2 linked regions of the Elephas maximus indicus genome follow. The protein of the gene in region 1 interacts with the protein of each later gene in a pairwise test. Links are inferred from orthologs where the notes say so. Each region holds a gene or a part of one and is shown in the gene's direction. Other genes may lie near its edges.

Evidence for each region.
Region 2: the proteins of keratin-associated protein 26-1 (region 1) and GDPD5 interact in a two-hybrid assay, tested with the Homo sapiens proteins (2 studies listed by BioGRID and IntAct). The two-hybrid records come from large-scale screens. The link is inferred for Elephas maximus indicus from reciprocal best matches to the Homo sapiens genes KRTAP26-1 and GDPD5.

Annotation. Positions count from the first base shown.
Region 1 is NC_064836.1:31,370,229-31,375,476, forward strand, and holds keratin-associated protein 26-1, read left to right. Parts: upstream 1-4,100; coding exon 4,101-4,733; downstream 4,734-5,248. UniProt on the Homo sapiens protein: In the hair cortex, hair keratin intermediate filaments are embedded in an interfilamentous matrix, consisting of hair keratin-associated proteins (KRTAP), which are essential for the formation of a rigid and resistant hair shaft through their extensive disulfide bond cross-linking with abundant cysteine residues of hair keratins.
Region 2 is NC_064825.1:47,044,061-47,051,871, forward strand, and holds the start of GDPD5 (glycerophosphodiester phosphodiesterase domain-containing protein 5), read left to right. Parts: upstream 1-4,796; 5' UTR 4,797-5,619; coding exon 5,620-5,757; intron 5,758-7,811. UniProt on the Homo sapiens protein: Glycerophosphodiester phosphodiesterase that promotes neurite formation and drives spinal motor neuron differentiation.

The DNA of each region.
Region 1 (5,248 bases):
TGGTTAGAGTGAACAACTGCTAACTGAAAGATTGGTAGTTCAAAACCACCAGCGTTCTGCTGGAGAAAGATGTGGCAGCCTGCTTGGAAACCCTATGGGGTCGCTATGAGTTGGTATCAACTCAACAGCAGTGGGTTTGGTTTTTTGGTTTTCAGTATACTTTTTGCATAGCCCATAGATGCAGAGGTGTATCTGAGGAAAATGGAGCCTATGCAAGCACTAATTTTGCCCCTGTCCAAACATCTGACACCCATCTTCTAGATAACTTTATCATAATATCAGCTCAAAAATACAAGTCAAGCTCATTAACCTTTTACTTAACACATTATGGCACTACATGAAAATGACAACTATTCCTTGCTTTCACTCGTGAAAACTGATCTATGATGTGCTCAAAGTCATTTCTTTCTGTTTCTTCTCCATCTCAGCGTAGCAAGATCACACAGTTTGCCTTGACTCATGGAGCCTCTCAAATACCAAACTACTATTTTCAACTTGCTGAATGATCTCTCACAGCTGGCGAAGGAAACTACTGAGATGGTTAATAGAAACTGCTCAGTGGTGCCACCCCCTCCACATGGCACCCAGGGCACATGCCATGCCTGCCATACCTTGGATACACCTCTGCCTGAAGTCTCATCCTCTTCCCCAAACGGCCGGTTGTTTCTTCCCATTCTTAAGAATTAATTTCAGATGCCAACTTTTAGGTAATGCCAATGAGTTCTGTTTGTCCTCCTCTGTACCCCTCTTAGAGAATTTATGCTCCTGTATTATCACACACACAAGGTTGAACGTGTCTGGAGAGCAGAAGCCAGTTATATCTGGGTATCATCCCCAGCATCTTTCGCAATGTTTTACACATCCTTGATGTTCAATAAACATCTGCTGAATGAATGACATGCCTGTCAGTTATGGTCATACCCTCACTATGTATCACGCTCTGAGGATTCTTTGTATCCAACAGAGAGAGATTAGGGGTTCTATAGAGTAAGAGAGGGAAGGACCTTTGGCTCATTAAAGAAAAAGCAATAAAGTAGGTAAACCTGTAGTTTACAGGTACCTGCAACGATGTAGGTGTCAGGCTCTTGCTTATAATAGAAAAGAGCAGGCATACTAATGAGATACCTGTTGTGCCCAAATAAACCCTTCCATGTTAGTGGCATAGTCACTCTTCAGTAACGTCAACTCAACATGTATTATTTTAAGGTAGAACTTATATTTGGGGGACTTCATTTTCTGAAATGCTGTAGATATTTTCAAAGTGTTACTTATCAATAATAAGAAAAAATAGGGTCTCATGGATGATACTCTTTGGGAGGGAGTAGAGATGCAAAAAATAAGATAACAACAACAAGAACAGATTATCTTCAGTGTTTTGCAGTTTACATTAATTTTGTATTATATCTCAATATATTTAATCCTAAAAATAAAACTAAAAAATAGATATTATTAATATTCCCATTTTTTCCCAGAAATAATACTGGTTGGTAATTGGGGTTCAGGGAGATTACGCAAATTGTCCAGGGTCACACAGCTAGTAAATGACAGTATCAATACATTCAACATAGTGCCATATTTCATACTGAAAGGAAAAATGTTTCATTGGTCAAGAAGCCTTTATTCAAAGGTTTCGCTTAATATCAATTACTACACCTTTCTAAATTTCAAATTTTCGCATAGGAACACTTGGAAGAGTAAAATGTACTATATAAATTTGTGAGGATAAAGTGACATTTCACGCATGGCTGTGAACACCACAAGGTCTATCACATAGTAGGCAATAAATAAATGCTGGTTCCCTCTTCTGCAGTCTTTCTCCTCATAGAAAAACACTCGTATATATACAAGCACCAACTGTCGTCGAGGCAACCCTGACTCATGACTACCTATGTGTGCCAGAGTAAAACTACTCCTCAGGGTTTTCAATGGCTGAATTTTTGGAAGTAGATCACCAGGCCTTTCTTCTGGGGTGCCTCTGGGTGGGCTCATAATTCCAACCTTTAGATTAGCAATTGAGTGTGCTAATCATTTGTATCACCCAGGGACTCCATGCCTACATATATTGTTGTTGTTAGCTGCCATTGAGCTGGCTCCCACTCTGGCTACCTTTTGTGTAACATAACGAAATGTTTCCTGTTCCTGCACCATCTTCATGATCTTTGGCGTGTTTGAGTCCATTGTACTACATATATAATACGTATACATACAGAGACATACTTACACGGGTGTCAAAATGATATAGGTCTTAGGCTCTTGCTTATCATAGAAAAGAGCAGGCATAAAGTATTGATGCACAATTTTGACAATCATTCAGTTAAAGATGGCTTTACCTATTACTAACGCCATTCAGCTGATGCAACCAGGATTTCACAAGAAGGCTCCATCAGCTGGGTACAAACAGTGTCAGACAGGTGACGAAGGCCTGGGGCTATTGAAACACATTAGATACAAATCATGAAAGGGTAATAGCCTCCAAACTAAAATACCGAGATAATTTCCACATGTTGGGACAGAACCTCAGAGACTATAATTTTCTCTTCATCTTTTTACCTCTGGTAGCAAAATCAGCCTGTATTGCCTCATAGGCAATTCATAAATTCTTCCCCCTCTGGACTGAGAAAGACTTGATAAGAGTAGGTGGGTTCAATGAACACTAAAGTAGAAGAAATTTTGTAACATAAATTGAATTTTTAGCCAAAGGGAATTGGAACTGAGATTCAGCAGATAATTTAAGTTCACGCTAAAGTAGCCACCGTTGTCCCTGGATTTGCAGGTATATGGAAAACAGAGTTGGACCATTGAAAATAAGCCAAATCATGCATTTTAAAACCTCCTTGCCATACAATTTATTCCCAAGTAGCCTCCAAAATACTCATACTTAGGAAGGCTATACTTTTAGCCTGTTGCTATTGCCTGTAAAAAAAAAAAAAAAAAATACAGTTAGAACACCTCTTTTTAAATTAATGTCAGGACCAATGTAGGAAGCAAAACCAAATCCATGTCTTAATCATTATATCTTATTTTTGACCATAAACAATAATTTGCAGCTGGAATATAAGTACACCATAAAATGAATAAGCTTAAAAAATCACAAAAAAAATCATGTCACCAAACTTTCTTTAAAGAGTTCTGCTTATCTGATTTTGCTCAGGGCAGGGTCAGTAATTGTAAATGAGCCCAACTATTATTTATATTAAACAAAATATTGCAAACAAAAACCAAGCTTACAGCTTGACTTAGCATTTTTTTTAATTGAACTGAATAGATTGAACACAAATTTTGTGAATCAAGATGTTTTGATGGAAAGTCACTTCCTACCAGGATTCTGAAATAAAACAAAAAACTGGGCACATGGACTTTTTCTATATTATAAAAACAAACAAACACACTGCTGTTAGGTGAATTCTGACTCATACCGACCCTGTAGGACTGAGTAGCGCTGCCCCATAGGGTTTCCAAGGAGTAGCTGGTGGATTCAAACTGCTGACCTTTTGGTTACCAGCCGAGCTCTTAACCACGGCCCTGCCAGGGCACCATATCATAGTACTTTCAAGCTCTTTCTGCTCTAAACCTTATAGGTTATAGGATTGCCCACTTTCTTTTTCAACACATTTGCTTCCAAGTTACTTACTTCAGCAATTTCCAAAATGAATAGAATTCTCCTTGTCGGAGAAACAATTGCCACTGTTTCAAAGATGTTTCCTACAATTTTTAAAGACTATTCTAAGACAGGAATTCTGGGAATGTTTGTCCAGTGGTGGTTATCATTGGAATAAGTATATGGCCTCTAAAATGTCTGTTTTCTTTGGATGATTTAAGAAGGAAAGATTCTATTAAAATTTTAGCTACACTGGTTTATAGCCATTCTTTATCGAGGGGAAGCTTTGCAAGAAACATTGGGTTTTATGGGAGGGGGTAGTGCCAATTTCTGAGCTATAATGATGAGTTCTGATGCAGACTTCATACAACAAGGAAGAGAGTCTGAATACAGAACCACCGCCTGCTAGGGATATATAAGGGTCAAACCAAGTGAGGGCACAGTCAAACTCGAGACACTTACTTCTTTCTACTCAACCACAGCCTGCTCTAGAAACCTCACTATGTCTTGCCACAACTACTGCTCTGGAAACTATAGCTCAGGATCCCTCAGGAATATCTGCCATATTCCTGTCACCTCCTCCAGTGCCCTCTGCTCTACCAATGTGAGCTATGGAGATGCCTTCTGCCTACCCAGCAGCTGTCAAGGCAGTTCCTGGCTCCTGGACAACTGCCAAGAGACCTGCAGTGAACCAACCAGCTGCCAGCCAGCCAACTGCGAGCCCAGCAACTCTTGCTGCCCTTCCACTGCTTACTATGTGCCCAGACCCTGCCAAGGAACCAGCTTTCTTCCTGTATCTTCTTCCATCTCAAGCTCTTGCTTCCCAGTCTCCTGTAGACCTCTGAGCTATGTGCCCAGTGGCTGCCGTCCATTGAGTCCTCTGCTCTACAACAGCCATCTCTTGGGCTGTGCACCCATTGGCTATCGACCACTGAACTGTTTGCCCAACAGCTGCCGACCCCTGAGCCTCCTCACTTACGGATGCCAACCCTTGAGTGGTTTGGCCTGTGGTTTGCAACCATTTAGCATTGTGTCCAGCAGCCTCAGACCCCTGAGGCCTCTCTCCAGTGGTTGCCAACCTCTTGCCCATGTTTTCAGTACTTGTCGTCCGTCTTGCTCTGCACTGGGGTACTAGTAGCCTGCTCATTCCAGAGAACAACGATGCTGAGAAACCTGGACCGAAATTCACACTCTGGGGACTTTTTGCTTCTTTATTCGTAGTGACAGTTTTTTCTCAGTTTTACTCTGCCTGATCAAATGCAAGTTGCTCATTTCATAATCTTTATTCTAGTCATTTCTCTTTGACATAAAATAATTGGTTTATGTGCTGTTCAATGTCACTCAGGTGTGGAAAAATTATTTGGTTCGTATTGTAATAAATTAGATTAAGTCACAATTATGTATCTGGGTCATCATTGTGTCTTTGCTTATTTTATCGTAACACAGAAATTACCAACCTGCACTGCTTATAAAACAAGTGAGTAGGACAGGTGACACACAACCTTACGTTCTTACCTGACAGCAGGGGAATAGCTCGATGGCTTATTCCTCAAGCTACCTTCTAGATCTCTGAGCCTATGAACTTGAAAAATGGAAAAAGACCTTGGTGGAATTTATTTTGAGAAGGCAAGACTAGGGATCACCTCTGTC
Region 2 (7,811 bases), on another chromosome or scaffold:
CCCAACAAGCCCATAAGCTGGAGATCATCATCGCCCCATTTCACAGTTGGGGAAACTGAAGATAGGGATGCTAGTGAGGAACAGAGTTAGGATCTGGACCCAGGCAATGTAGGTTCAACACTGTGCTCTCAGCAGGGACGGGGATGGGAAAATGGCTGAGGCGAAGGGAGAAGGGTGACTGAGCTTCCAAGCAGAAAGCCCTTGGCCATCCGGACAGACACTGTCCTGGCATCAGGACAGATGTATCGCCCAGGATGTCTCATGTCCTTTGGTGGGCTCTGGACTGGCCAGGCGCAAGCCATGGACTTAGGAAGTGATAACTCTTGGCTGTGGCCAGCACAAGGCCCAGGGTAGAGGAAGTTGTGGGCCAGAGCTGGGTTTGAGCTGATTGGGAACCAGAGTGGTGCAGGCTCTGCAAACACCAGGGTCAGTGGCACTGGGGTTGGGGCAAAAGCTGGAGGCTGTACACCAGGTTGGCTGGGAGTGGGGAGAGGATTTTGCAGCAGCTCTGGGTGGTAAGGCCTCTGCAGAGAGGGCTGAACTCACCTCAGGTGACCCCGAAACTCACAGCAGAGGATGAGCATCCCCTTCTCCCTCCCCCAGCCCCTCACCTCACTCCCACTTCTCCTCCCACCTCCTGGGTTCCATGCCTCAGCCTCTCAGCCTCTCTCTCCTCTTTTCTCCGCATTCTTCCCGAAACAGCTGGGAGAGGACAGTGATGGGGGCTGGGCTTTCGGCCTGGCACAGTGAAAAAAACAGCGATCTCATGTCTCAGAGACTGGGTGGTGCATAGTAGGTGCTCCATAAATGTTGCTGAACAGAGGCCCAGAATGAGCCCTGGGAACAACACTGTTGGGGCCAGGAGAGGAGAGGAGAGGAGAGCGCTGGGGGCTTGGGCGGTGGAGGAGAGGCCTCTGCAAGAGCAAGGAGGGTCTAATAGTGGCCCTTGTACCTCTCCTCACTCCCACCTTCCCCTCCTCATTTGGGGACACCTGCCCCTGCCCACAGCACCACTGCCTCCCCTCAGGTTCTCTTGGGGGAGCCCTCTGCCCCTAACCCCACCTGCATCCCTCAACTCAGAGAAGCCTGTGTGCAAGTCCCTCCTCTGTGAAGCCTGACCTCTCTGGGCCTCATCTGTGAAATGGGGTGACAGATGGGTGAGTGAGTCTCTGAAGCATCTCACGGTCATCCTCCCGCTGGCAAATGAAGTATGACAGTAATAGTAACAGTTGACATTTATTGAGTACCTACAGTTTGCCCAGGAGCCTTGCCAAGTGGTTTTCAGGCATTGCCCCATTCATTGTTAAAACACCCCCATGGGGCATGGTTAATTGTTATCCCCATTTTATGGGTGGAGCCTCACCCAGGGAGTCAGATAGATTTGCAGCCCGTGCCTCAGGAGGATGGAGGTTGAAGGAGAGAGCACGTATATTTTGAGTATGTGTGTTTAAATGAGAGCGCTGGAAGGAGATGAAAGGAGGAGTGGGGGACTTGGGAAATTGCCTGATGGAGGAGAAAGAACACTGGGCCAGGAGGATTTGGGACAAGATCTAGAGTGCCTTGAATGCCAGGCTAGGAACCCTCAGGGTTTTCCTGGTTAAGATCTAGCCTTCAAGTACCTAAGTGAACCCTGGGGTGGTTGAAGGGTGGGCAAAGAGCTTCCTTTCCAGCCAAGCTGGCCCCCTTCCTTCCTTCCTCCCCTACCAGCCTGCCACATTCCCACCTCCTCCAGCCCTTGCTCACACAGCCCCTTTCCCCCAGGGCACACGCTTGACAAATAAGGAAACAGGAAACTGAGGACCAGAGATGTGGCATGACCTATTCTCCTTCCCCAGCTCCGGGATTGGAGGAGTCTGGTCGCAGGAGGCCGGCTCACTCACCAGTAAGGAAGGGGAAGTGAAGCTTTTTATAACTGGGAATAATTAATTGGTTGTTGCCTGTGACTCATTACTGTAATGCTGCCAATTAAGGACTTTTTATGACAGAAGATTTTTCTCAGGCTGTCCCCACAGGACCTCCTGAAGACATCGTATCTGTGGGAGGGAGCACAGTGTCAAACCCAGCTTCTCTATAGCAAGAGAGATATAGGTCAGACACCTGGAGGAACTTCCCAGCCAGAGACACTGAAGGAGACAGGACAGTGAGAGTCGATGCTCTCTGGCATTTCTATACCATCTTTTGCCTTTTGATTCAGGCTGTTTTAAGCTTATTTGATCCCCTCCAGGAAAAGTATGTGATTTACTCAAGCTGAGGAGCTGAAGGCCCAGCCTTCATTGCCCCCTGCTTGCAGCCCCATCCTGTATCCTCTCCCCTATTTCACACAGCCTTGTCTGGGATTCAATGGTTATTTATTCAATCAACAACCCTGCTGTGATGTCTGCTCTGGTCCTAGCCCTGCGATGGGCCCTGGGTCACAGTGGATCAGACCTGGTTCTCCCTTCTTTGGAGGGCTCCCAGGCTGGTGAGGGAGCAGACAGGAGCCAACACACCCAGACCACCCAGGGGGATCACTGTGGAGGCAGAGGGAAACACTACTGGGGCAGGGAGAGCCTCGAGGCTGAGCCCGTGCCCTACCAGAGCTGATATCTGAAAGGTGTGGGGAAGCTCAAGGCAGGAGGAACTGCATGTGTAATAATGTGTCTTTTGTTTAGGAACTGAAAGTAATTCAGCTGCAGTGTGGCTAGGGTGTAAGGAGCGGGGAGGTTCTGCCAAGTGGGCCCTGGAACCTCAAGGCTGAGCTGAGGAGCTTGGACTTCATCCTGGGCAACGGGGACCTGAGTCTGACTTGGGCTGTGGGAGGGCCGCACTGGTTACAGTGTGAAGAATGGCTTAAGGGCAGTTGAATAGAGGTGGGAGAGTAGGGAGCCACATGAGAAAAGCCTCGACTGGGGCCAGGGACAGTCACAGGGAAGTAGAATAGGGGAGGGCTTCTAGTGACACAGAGAGAGTATAGTCAACAGATTGGCTGTGGGCGAGAAGGAGGGTGAGAAAGAAGGTAGTCTAAGTGGAGTCCAGGGAGGGCACAGTCGGGTGGGTGGAATACACCCACTCCTCAGTTATTAACATGGTTAGGTTCCAAAGACTAGGTCATTATGCAAAAATGGAGGATAACCACATCAAATCACAAAATATTATGTGGGACACATATGTCCCTTTGGACCCAAGAGGCAGAAAACGTAGGTGGGCACTGTATGTCCCACTGGTCATAAAAGGATTATTACCAGAGGTACATCATCAATGTGCAAAATAGCCAGATATTGTTGTAAGTGCAAAATGTCAGATAGTGAGGTAGTCGATAACTGAGGCATAGGTGTATAGACAAAATCAATCTGCCCAGCCCCAACTGCCTACCTTCTATAATGGGAAACTCCCTCCTTCCGTGCAGGAAGACACTTGCTGCAAGGAAATCCATCAGCTCCTTTTCCACCCCTTCCTTCCACAACCTCTACACTGCCCCACTGAGCTTCTCCCCTTCCTAGTATATGCCTCACCCCTTCACAGCACCCTGCCTTTGCTCAGGCCATCACCTCTGCCTGGAATGCCCTTCTTCTCTGTCTCTGCCTCTCAAGGCTCTTTGCAAATGTCTCTTCCTCTAAGAAGTATCCCTCCCCCCTTCCTTCTCCATCCTTACCTCCTTTTCCCCCTCAGATCCCTTAGCACCTTGGGCCTGTGCCAGCTATGTGGATTGTGATTCTCTGTGTCTCCCACAGGGCCCTGAGTGCTTTGAGGGCAGAGATTGGGCCTGCCCCATGCCAGGGGCCTGGTTTGCCCAGTGAATGCCTAGAAGGATGGTTGAGCAGATGAGTTGAAGAATGAGGGAAGAAGCCAGTTAGGGAGTACACCTGCCATCTTGCTGACTTTGGGTGGGGAGGCAGGCCCCTGATGAGCTTGCTGTGCTCCCCTGCTCTCTCTCCTGTCTTCATCCATGACCCTGGTTTCCAAGGCCGGTGGGTGTCAGGTGGTCTGGGGAGGGTAGGTGTACATGTGTGGACAGGTGTGCGCAGCATTCTTAGCTCTAGCTTTTATGCCCTGGTGGTGGTTGACAGTGGAGAGGGTGCTGACTCAGCTGCAGGCCCCCTAGGCCACCCTTGGAGCTGGGTAAAGCTCTGCCAGTGGGCAGGAGGAGGGGGGTGAGTTTCCAGCTGGCTCCCCACCTTACTGTCCTATCACCCAACCATGTGAGTTTGTGTCAGGGGTGTCGGGCAGCCCCAAGCGGAGGGGTACTGTCCTGGAGGAGGGGAAGGATACTTCCTAACAAGGATTCTTCCTTCTGTTTGTACAGTTAGCAAAGCACTCTCCAGAATGTTAGTTCGTCTTGTGGGTACATCACTCAGGCATGGTACATCTGGAGAAACTGAGGCCACAGCTGCCCAGTGAGTGGCTCCAGGAACCACAGGAGTCAGCAACAGAGTGAGAGCCAGAATCCAGACCTCCTGTCCCCCCACCCCCTTCAGAACTCATTCTCTCCTCTCTTCTCCTTGGTCTTCTCTGGCACAGCAGCAGAGAGCAATAGAGGCAGACAGAGCTGGCCTCTGTCCCAGCTCTACCACCTGCTGTGTACCTGTGGCCTGTGTACCTGGGTTAGGGGCATCCCTGTCCTCCCAGAGCCCCTTTCACTACCCCCACCCCCTTGCAGCACTGACCTCCTGGAGTGGCATGGCCTGGTGACCTGCCTATCTGTCCTGAGGGCAGAGCTGGGTCCGCGTGTGTCACAGCAGACTTCCTGGAGTCCAGCACAGAGCCTGGCAGCATGGACTTGCCAGTCAACATCTGTTGAATCAAGAAAAGAGGTCCCTCTGCCTCTTGGAGTCTCAGCTCCCTCTCCTGAGGCATGGGGAGAGGAGTCACCCCCTTGGAGGAGTGGTAAAGAATTAGATCAGGTGGTCCACTTGAGAAAACCCTGGTGGCGTACTGATTAAGAGTTTGGCTGCTAACCAAAAAGTTGGTAGCGCGAATCCACCAGGTGCTCCTTGGAAACCCTACGGGGCTGTTCTACTGTGTCCTATAGGGTCGCTATGAGTCAGAATCAATTTGACGGCAATAGATTTAGTTTTTTGGTTTATGGTCCATGTGAATGCCTAGTCCATAGTAGAAGCCTTACCAACACAGTCTCCCTCGTCACATGTCGCTCACAGCCCTCAGCCCCAAAGCAGATTCACTGCAAGTCCTCCATGCATCACTCTATTTGACCTGTGCTGACTTCTGTATTTCTTGGTGAGAGTCAAGGCTGGAAGCCTACAGTCCTGGGTCCTGGTCTCCATAAACCCTTCTGTGCCTACAGGCCGAGGACTGGGCCAGATGACCTCTTAAAGAGTCTCTGACTCCCGGACCTGGGATTCCCTACTGATACCCTCTTTGCCATTCCTGCTTGGGTATCACAGCCCTGGAAGGGGACCATGGGGAGAGGGGTGGGGCACTGGGTCCACAGTGCTTTCTACCCCCTCCCCAGCTCTGGGAACAGAATACCGGGGTCTCTGCTCTTTAGGTAAGGCTGAGACAAAGCAAATCATAGCTCCATGGCTTCCTTGCTATAAGCCCAAAGCAAGGGAAGAGTGGATCCTACCTCGGAATCGGGGCGGGCTTTCTGGATGAAGCCGCCTTTGGGATGGACTCCAGGGTATGCTAATATTCAGCCAGATGCAGCTGACGTTCCTGGCTAAGGAAGCTTCAACCTGGACTCCAGCCCTGCCTCCACCACTGACTCAACGTGAGACCTTGGCCAAGTCCCTGAGCCTCTGGGCCCAACTGGCTTGTGGAGTAAGTGTAGACCTAAATCCACGTCCTGCCTAAGGGACCAGTTAGGTGAGGGATACGAGCGTGCCTTGTGTCCTGTATAAGAAGGAACCATCTCTCACACTCTGTGCCTTCCCTACAAACTTTAGAGTGACACCTTTCTCTTCACTGGTACTTTGGGGAAAGGGACCCAGCAGGGGCCAGAGTCAAGCCCTGAGCTTCCATTTTCCTGTCTCTAAGATGAGGGTGGTACTACCTTTTTGCAGGGTTGCTGTGAGGGTGAGAAAACGGAAGATGGTATTATTATGTCCAGGATGGACAGAAGAGGGGCTGGCAGGGCACCTGGTTTCTGCAATGCAAGAAGCTAAGGATTCATAGCAATCAAGACATGCTGTCTTTGGCCTTTGGGATCCCTGCACCCTACCTCCTTTTGAAATGGCCCTTAGGGGGCCTGGCATGGCCGCACTCCTCACAGGTGGCAGCAGCTAAGCCCCTGTTTTTGACCCTCCATGAGTGCCTTAAGCATCTGCTTAAGGATTGAGGATGGGGCAGAGGATGGAGGGCATCACCCCAGGGACTGCAGCCACCCTCCCTGAGACTTTGGCAGACCCTCTAAGGGGTTCTGGGATGGCACTTCCTCAGGGCCCCAAACTCCTCCACTCTGTGTCTCCCCTTGGATGATGCAACTCAAGGGGTGAGGGGTGGGGACAGAGAGTGCCAGGCTGGGCCTGATTTCATTTTCCTGCCTAACGAGCCGCTCTGAGTGCACCCCAGCAGAAGCAAGGGCAGGCAGAGACCTAATTGCCCAGCTCTCTGTAGCCCAGAAAAAATAAATCCAGCCTCTTAGGCTGTCAGGGCTGGGTTGGGGGTGGGGACTCTAATCCCCTCGCCTGCTCTGTCCTAATGCTATAATGCTTCTTAGACCTCCTCATGCCACCCCTCCCCCAAATCTCCTGGGGTCAGGGCCAGAGTGATCCTGGAGGGGCTGCACATCTCTCCCCCCTGGTGCTCCCTGCACCCTTCCCAGCTGACAGTCCTGGCTTTTCTGTGCATCTGTTGCCACATATGGAACTCAGCTAGGTTAGAACAGGCTGATGGCAGGAGGAGCTGGATGCCCGAGATTTGGCCCAGAGATGAGCAGACTCGGTGGGTAGGTGCCCCTCCATCTCTTTCTCCCCGTCTCTGCAGGGCTATATGGGGCTTAAGGTGTAGCTGGGCTCTGTGACCTCAAAGCAGAGCTGGGACCACGGCAGGGGTGGGGGGTGTGGGGGTAGGGGGGGAAGGGGCAGGCTCGGCCAAGTATCAGCCAGAGGGAGTACTTGGGTGAAGGGACTGCCTTGGGACAGGAGGACAGGCAAGAAAACCTAGAAACAAAGCCGCATACATAGGCCAATGTAGTGTACTGTAAACTAAGGTGGAAATGACTGCAGACATCACAAAGGATGTAGGGACAGCTGAGTACCCATTTGGTGAAAGTAAAATTAGATCCCTACCTCTTACCTCAAACCAAAATAAGCTCCAGATGGATTAAAAGGTATTTCTATTTTGAAACTGTTTTTTCCTGTTCAGAAAAATAGCACACATTTGTTGAGAAAATTCAAAGAATTTGAAAAGAGATAAAGTAAAAGAAATCCTAGCCTTAATGATATACAAAACCCATAGAGACAAGCATTTCAAGCCTTTCTCCATACACGGGTGCATTTATATGGAGCTATCGTTGGGTGGATGGGTTACAATTTTTAAAATGCTGAAAAATTACCAGTATAAAATATGAGTTAAATATATAAATTTGAGCCACCTTTCTTAAGCACAATATCAAAGGCAAAAACTGTAAAGAAAAGAGAGATTTGTCTTCACAAAAATTAAACATTTGAGTACAAAAAGCTTTAAAAACTAAAACTCAAGTGATTAAAAAAAAAGACTAAAAGTAGGTTAATATTCTTACATAGTTTTTATAATCCCATAAGAAAAGAAGCTAATTCCCCCCAACAAAACCCACCTTGCTCTGTGCATTACACTCTGCTGCTCGTTCCCCCTGCCTGGATTGAGGCTCTCAACCTTGTCATCCCAGCAAGTCA